Macaca fascicularis: one gene and its partner. The protein of the gene in region 1 purifies or fractionates together with the protein of each later gene. This does not show direct contact. Links are inferred from orthologs where the notes say so. Each region holds a gene or a part of one and is shown on either strand. Other genes may lie near its edges.

Region 1 (3,820 bases):
TAATTCATAACTATGTATATTTAGACATTTATTTTCAACAAACTGTATTATTATTTTCTAATTCTGAATGAAAGGTAATGGATATAAAGAAAAGGAATAAGGAAACAAATACGTATTATACCCAGGGCACTTATTATCAGGGTATTTCTACCAGTATTTGGGTAGAATTCCTCAGCAGTATAGATGCTGAACTAGAATAGTCAAAATTCTTTATTTTTCTCTCACCTCGTCTATTTTGGGAAGACTAACTTATAGGAACAAGTGGGAAGTTGGAAATAATAGAAATGAAACAGGTAAAATCTTTTTGGCCTATCACTTCAAAAAGGACAATTAAAGGTTTATGAAGTAAGGATGCTGGCAAATTACAGTAAGGGAAATGTCCTCCCTTAATTTTTACAATTTCATTGAAGTTAACATTTCTTTTAAAAAGGAAATTGAGCATCTTATTTTATCTGCGAATATGCTTTCTTTTACATTCATTAAAGTCCAGAAGGCAGCATGAAAAAAACAGCTAATAATTTACCATATATAAAAGATCAATTCGTGAAAAGGCTTACAGATTTTCTTTCGCACCCTCATCTTTTCTATGCGATTTTGTTTAATCCTTCAGCTATCTGAAAATACCACTCTGCCATTATTTTTTCACTTAAAGGGATGGCTAATGCACTGAAGTCCTGAGATAGGCCAAAAATATCAACCTAGTAACCTTAATTTTTGACATAAACAAAAATAAATGTAATGACTGAAAAAGAAAGGAATAAGATATTACTAAATATGGCTGAGCACGGTGGCTTACACCTGTAATCCCAACACTTCGGGAGGCTGAGGTGGGCAGATCACTTGAGGCCAGAAGTTTGAGACCAGCCTGGCCAACATGGTGAAGCTCTTGCTCTAATAAAAACACAAAAATTAGCCAGGCATGATGGCAGGTGCCTGTAATCCCCGCTACTCGGGAGGCTGAGGTAGGAGAATCGCTTGAACCTGGGAGGCAGTGGCTGCAGTGAGCCAGTATCACACCACAGCACTCCAATCTGGTGACAGAGCAAGACTCCATCTCAAAAAAAAAAAAATTAAAGAATACTTTAGGGAGACAGTGAAAAAGATGATATCTTTTATTCTGGAACTTTGATGTAAACATGAAATAGGAAGATCACTGGGGGACTATAACATAAAGAACTCAAATAGAAGAAAAGTAATTGCTATGAGTTCAACCCCCCACCTAAGCCAATTTTTAGTGTTATAGTCTTCTTGCCAATCTCCTAAATATTAAGATCTAAACGGTCATGCATAATTTCTCAGGATTTTCTATATAATGAAAAACTGATTTGAAAAATTAGTTTAAACCAGTTTACACTAAACTTAGTTATGTAAACTAATTTAAACTAATTTTTCAAATCAGTTTTTTCAAAGATATATGTATTTAATAACAGAAATTTGCAGGTAAACATTATTTGCAGCCAAAGTTGAGTATCATGCAAATGTTATTTTACATGAAAATAAGCATATGAACATACTTTATTTTCTTAAGTTGGAGTACACTTTTATTTATTTTACTTTAATAAATGTGGTTTCATCATGAACAATAAGGTTAAATTTGCGCCTATCTGAATTTTCATGAAGTCCGAATTCTTAACAATTTTAATGTAGCATGTAAGAAAATGAGTTTGTACTGAATTTAAAATATGAAACAAAAAGTGACAAAACCTTTTGGAGGATGGAGTTTGTGGCCAGTTTTCTCACACCACCCAACTGGGTGGATATCCAGAGCGTCTGCATTCACCCAGAAGTCATAGCAATCAGAATACCCATCAAAGTGAAGCTTTATCCGGTATCCACAAACCTGAAACAGGTAAAACAGGTTGAACTATTTTTTTTTGATCCAGAATATTCATATATATATACAAAAATAAACATGGACACCAGGCATGATACAGTCTTAATGTTAATCAAACCACCCACATTAACAGCAATAAAACAACTAAACAAATATCCAGAATCTAAAGACAAAAGCTATTACATTTGGAAGAGCTGAGCTGCGGCATTCTGACAACATTCTCAGTCACATTAGGAGCACACGGATAGGGGGCAAAGCATAATATCCCAAAAGTGCAGGTCCTTTCTCCACTCCCTACGTTGTACCAGGATGTGTCCCCGAGGTAAGCTGGAAGGCACACCAGCACAGCACACTCAGCTCTAGCATGGCCCCAAAGTGGATGCTCTGCCCTGCACTGAATGCTGCAGACCACAGCTGGCGCATATGCACAGAAGTCAAGCGTTTCTTCTCCACCAAAGCTGGGTTGGAAGGAAGAAAGAAAAGCATCTCTCCTGGTTTATTACTTGGATGAGACAGGCTCCTAAGAATGCTAGTAAGAATGTACTCTGTATAACACATGCCGTACATATGCCTACAGGGCCCCACTTAGGGACATTCTGAGTTAGAAGGTCATATAGGCTTATGAGACCTGAGCCGGATCATACCCTCCCCCTGGGCTTTCAGAGAGAAGGTTCAGCCCCTCGGACTTCTTCCCACTAACACAAGCAGATGTGTTCAGGTAGAAACACATACCACACCAGACCTCTACCCGCTCCGTGAGCATCTGTCCTGCAGAACCCTGAATGATGGACTTAGACCAGAGTGCAGAGCCAGGACAATCAATCCTCAAATAGTGAGGCAGCTGTACAGTTACTGTCATGGCAAGTTCTCTAAAACATATTGCTAAAATTCAAGTGGCAGAACACATAACAGAGAATGAGTTAGTTTATGAGAAAATTAGACATGTGGGGGTCCACATGTATATTTATGGGTATATGATTATGTATACATATATGTATTGTGTGTATACATATATATAAGTATATGCATTTATATACATACATTAATATGCACACATATGCATATATACATAAACACACAGTAAAAAGAAGTCGGGATGAATATTTGCCAAAATGTTAATAATGATTTCTTCTAGGAAGTGGTAGTAAAAAGTAAAGGGCAAAATGGAAACGATGGACTTTTAATATTTTCTTATATGAGTATTTTTTCAATTAAACTGTATTGATACACCACATACATAAAATTTACAACTAAGCGGACTCCCCCCAAAGAGAACAGTCTCTCCATAGAACTCAGACTGGAATCCTTGGGAAATACAATCTCTCAAGAAAGGCAGGAGATACCGCCACTCCCTGCAGCCACCTCATTCAAAGAAGGCTGCTTCTCTCCTCTGACTCACAGTCAGCTGTCTCTGGCCGATCCTAAGAGCTCAGCCCTTCAGTAACTTACAGCCTCTAGTTCCTCGTGGGCACACAGTTCTGAGCTTCTGCTCCCTTGAGCCAAGCTCTCTCTGTTCTCCCCACAGTCTCTATCTCAGGCTCACTGGAAAGTTATGCTTTGAGAAACAATCTCCCACATCCTCACCCTCCTTGCCCACAGTCATACCTAGCTCGTCCTTCTCAAGCCTTTCCCCAAGGCTGCTCATGTTCCCAACTCTACCTCCTGCAGACACAGGAGGGGTTGCTGCGTCCCACCACACCATGGATCCTAGGCCAGTTCTCCTCTGAGGCTCAAGCCACACGGCTGAAGCAACTCTCCTCCTCTTCTTCGCCCATGCTAACCACCCAAACACTTAGCCCTGGCTTATTCTTTTCCTTTCCATCTGAGTACTTTCATCATCCATACGGATGACTTATCCAATACCCTGGCGTTCTGGCTCCCTTCCTCTCTACTTCAAGCCCTCACTCCCATGAATCTAGTCCCCAACAAGAACTGCTCTGCTTCTTAGTATTACATTTAAAAATCCGACCCTGGGACACATACTCC
Region 2 (4,352 bases), on another chromosome or scaffold:
ACCGCCTCCCCTCTCCCTATCTGAGCCCGTTCCCAAGTGGGTCGAAAGTTCTGTTCCAGAATACTGACACCAAAGTTAATTTCAGCATATAATTTGGAGATTTCAGGATCTCCAAAGTTATTTCAGCATATCCCATAATGTACTGGATCAGAAGGTCTTGTTTGGTTGCCTCTCTCCCTCACCCCCACACACCATATACACACCCACATATGTACCACACCCACACACAAAGTACACCACATAGTACACACATTACACATACATACTTTATGCTACACACTACACACACAACTTTTTATCAGCAGAGGATTGATGTCAAACATTTTGTTGGAGGGAGTGTGTGAGTACTAGTGTGTGTATATATATATTATATTCACAAGTGTCAGTTTACTACCAAAGTTAGAAACTAGCTGGTAAGTGAAACCTCCTGTTGTCATAATTTAGAGTGTCTTTGTGGCTCACTTTTTATACCACGGGATTAACTTCCTACAACACTTTCTGAAACTTTACTGTTGTGTAACAGGCAAACTTTTGATCACAGCAGGCCAGATGGGAGGGGATGTCCCTTTGTACATGTAGGAAGAGATGCTTGGAAAAACATCACAGAATCCTTTCTCCTGCGGCTGTGTCTAAGGAAGAGCTGGGTGTAACTACAGTCTCTTTGCCTTTTCCCCCTCAAGAGTGGAGAGCTGAACATGCTTTTGTTCTGAGCAGCACTGTCAGGACAACCCCAGCTTCCCAGGACACAGAACTCCCGGTCCAACTCGCTTCCAATTTGGATTTACTGGGAGAATAGTTAAGGAATTTCAGATCAAGTCCAAAAGCATTATGGAATCTGTTAGTGAAAGAGCTCTTTATCTCGGTAAGAGTCCATCATTTTGAGATCAGCACTGGTGAAAGATCCAGATGCCTGACCTGTGCTCAAAAATAGTGCTCAAAAATATTTAATTGGTTCCTAGATTACTATTGTTTGCCTTTTCAAGGGAGCAATGGCAAATATTTGAAATCTTTCTCGGCAGTGATCTTTAAGGAAGTCGAAAATTTCTAATATAATTCCTGGAATAAGTAAAGGACCAATTTTTGACCTTGAAATTCGGGTTCCAAATTTAGATCAAAGTTGATCTTCTAATGTCCTAAAAGATTATTTTTAAAAAGGGAGGCAGGCAACTTTCTCCTCGGATTCTACCTGAATTCTACAGGATATTACAGCAACAGATAACTTTTCCAAGATCTTTCTGGGAAACCTGTGTTCTGTGTCCTGTTTTGAGTGGTTTTGTTGACCATCTTGACCTAAAAGTGTACAAATGTTGATTGATGTTTATTTCAATGAAGAGGCAACCATGTATGTTTTCTGTGTATGTGCAGAACATTTATGGGATGAGATTATTCCCCTGGAAAAGTGGTTTAAGCCAAGCACGGAAACTGTGAGAATGACTAGGGTAATGTAAACAAAAGATCTTGCCCAGCCTCTCTGCTCCACCTCCCAGTTTTCTGATTTGGTATTTAGGATGATGGCGGGAGAGACTATGAATTTTGGGGTGGACATAATGTCTTTCTACTTATATGCAACTAATACAGTACCGGGTACTCATAGATGGTAAGTGTTGGTTGAATTTCTTGAATTATGCTTTTTGTGCAACTGGGATAAACAGTTAAAATTAAACCTCCCAGAACTAATTGTTTTCATTTTGTAGAATAAGGTTTTGTTTGTTTCAGTCTGAATTTTTGCTGGCTTCATTTGGCAGAATAAATGCCAAAATAAAAGAATGTGGGCGTTTTCAGGAGATCTGGTCATCTATTTTGCATCCTCTCTGAAATATGTTACTTCCTGCATAATGAAGTAAAAGGATTTGCTGCTGGGCAGTGCTTTCCTTATTCTCACAAAGAGATTACTTAAAAGCCAGCCCTGGGAACTTTGTCCACCAATCTCTATTAGGAAAAAAAGAGTAACATGGGACCGCAGCTTCCAAGTGTTCTCTGGTTATAGCCCATAAGCACTGGGTTCTCACTCTTATTTTTCCCTCTGGGGAGAAAACGAAATAGTTTGAAACATGACATTCACGCTCAGAACAACAGCTAAGACCTATCATGCAGCAACAATGAAGGGGAGGGAGAAAATAAGAAGCTATTGAGAGAGCTTGTTTTTCTTTGTACAAGACAGGTGCAGGGAGAATTCTGCAGGTTTTGGACTCCTGGCTCATTCTCTTGCACTAATTGTGCTGAAGGTAGTTAGCAAAAGTGAACAGGCACACTGTAGCTTTAAAAAGTCAGCCATGAACCAGAAGGCAGTTGGTGCAGCTTGTGTGTGATTCCTAACGTCATGTTGGCTGAGAGCCAGCCTGGTTTTATTTCACTGTGTCAAATTGTACCTCCTTATTGAATTCCTTTGCCAGCCTACTTTGTGAAAGAAAACATTGGGGTTTCTTTGGCTGTTCTTGATAAGCCTATAAAAAATGATATTTTTTAGTTGCTTATAGGTAGGTTTTCTTTTTACTCTTCCACAAAAAAAGAAAATAATAGTAATAATAATAAGACAATGTAGTGTGATGTTGCAGAGTATCATTGTGAGTGTTTTGTTTTGTTTTGTTTTCTGAGATGCTTAGAAAATGGTGAATGTGTAACAGTTTCCAACTGAAGTGAAATCATATTCTGTTAGCATGGAGCAGCAGCACTATCTTCCTGTCTACTCTATAACGGTGTGTGAATGTATGCTAATATCTATCTATATATTAAATGTTGGATTTCTCTATCAGTGATCTAAGTGGTTTAGCAACTGGAAGTTTGTGTGTATGTGTGTGTTTCAGGAGTGAAAATTATCCCACACTTACAGTGTTATTTGTTAATCATCTACTTCTCTAACAGTGATAAAATCTTGCGAATATACTAAATGATGCACTTGCCATGTCAGAGTAATCCCTAGAGAAGGAGTGCCGAAGTATAAAGTGATTTGAGTGGAAATGTATTTAATTTATGGCTTCAACTGAATAAGAGCAAACACGTTTCGGGACTGTTGCTTCCGTTTTTTTTTTTTTTTTTTTTTTTTCTTAAAGCAGTTTTGTTCGTAGCTTTTTCATTTTGCTAATTGCATATTAATTGTGGAAGGCTTTTAATTTTTCACAGCCCTCATCCTACTAAACAAAAAGACAGAATGATGGATGCTACAATATCTCCTTAAATGTTCTGATGATTTTTCATAAATCTAATGAGCTACCTACTCTTTCTTACACACACACACACACACACACACACACACACACACACACACACACCCCAGCACCACCTTTCTGTGCTAAGGGCTATCTGGCATTTTTTGTGAGCTTCCTGCTTTACCACAGCATGGCCATCTCACAGACGGGTTTTTGAGGCTTTCGTTGAGAATGTGAGGTAGGGGAATACTTACTGACAAAAGCTTTAAGTGTCCTTCTGCATTGCAATGAAAAAATCTAGGAGCAAGGGGGAGTGGACCAAAAAAACAAATGCAATAAGAAAAAACAAATCACAGCCCATAATGGGAGGGGGGAAGGAAAAGGGGGATTGTTTTTCTCTACTTTGACTCATTTATGAGTTGCAGTGTCTTATGTGAGAGCTAGGCACCCAGGAGAAGCTGTGCCAGTTCACACAGCACTTGTTTTCAACAAGGATTCAATTTCATTTGCAAATGCTTATTGTCAAGGCAGGGAGTGCCAGTACAGATGAAAGCACCCCAATCCGTCTCCTCCAGTTCTTTAGGTTTAATCACATCTCTCCAATCGCCGAGGGAACTGGAGATTTAAACAAACATACGTGAACTGGTGTGAAGCTGTAAAAGGGACCATTATGTTTCCGATTCAGAATATATATTCTTCTCTCACTTTCTAAGAATTAAACACAAGCTTTTCTCCCTTATTGATTAGTTGCTGAAGTAAAGGAACCCTGCAGCCTTCCCATGCTATCTGTTGACATGGAAAACAAGGAAAATGGCTCTGTCGGTGTAAAAAAGTAAGTGAAGCTGGCTTCTGAGTTCTGCTTCTGCAAACAACAGAGGGACTTGGTTTCTATTTTAGTACTTCTTGCTTATCTACTACAATACACAGTTCGGAGGTCGCCTTGGTTTGTCTACATTGGCCAGCAACCTCCCTTCTCCCCCCTACCCCAGTTACCTTTTTCCGTATTCCATTTCTAAGACAGAGATGACTCAGACATCAAAATATATATGAAAGGTTTGTGTATCAGGCTTTGGAACAAGGATGGTTGAGGATTTCAGCCCTGCATTCTGTATATTGAAACAAAAACTCCAAGCAGAGACTCTTCCGTAGACAACACAGAATGAGGGCAGAAAATTGAGTTCGAATTTTTTTTTTTTTTTTTTTTTT

What was found.
Region 2: the proteins of L3MBTL3 (region 1) and SAMD13 purify together in Homo sapiens (affinity purification with mass spectrometry; 3 studies listed by BioGRID and IntAct, counting the BioPlex papers as one, with this or other methods). This does not show direct contact. The link is inferred for Macaca fascicularis from reciprocal best matches to the Homo sapiens genes L3MBTL3 and SAMD13.

Annotation. Positions count from the first base shown.
Region 1 is NC_088378.1:34,057,878-34,061,697, reverse strand, and holds part of L3MBTL3 (lethal(3)malignant brain tumor-like protein 3), read right to left. Parts: intron 1,841-3,820; coding exon 1,705-1,840; intron 1-1,704. UniProt on the Homo sapiens protein: Is a negative regulator of Notch target genes expression, required for RBPJ-mediated transcriptional repression. It recruits KDM1A to Notch-responsive elements and promotes KDM1A-mediated H3K4me demethylation.
Region 2 is NC_088375.1:150,346,640-150,350,991, reverse strand, and holds the start of SAMD13 (sterile alpha motif domain-containing protein 13), read left to right. Parts: upstream 1-1,493; 5' UTR 1,494-1,508; coding exon of another isoform or gene 1,509-1,563; coding exon 1,564-1,597; intron 1,598-2,375; exon of another isoform or gene 2,376-2,477; intron 2,478-2,613; exon of another isoform or gene 2,614-2,696; intron 2,697-3,302; exon of another isoform or gene 3,303-3,384; intron 3,385-3,893; coding exon 3,894-3,978; intron 3,979-4,352.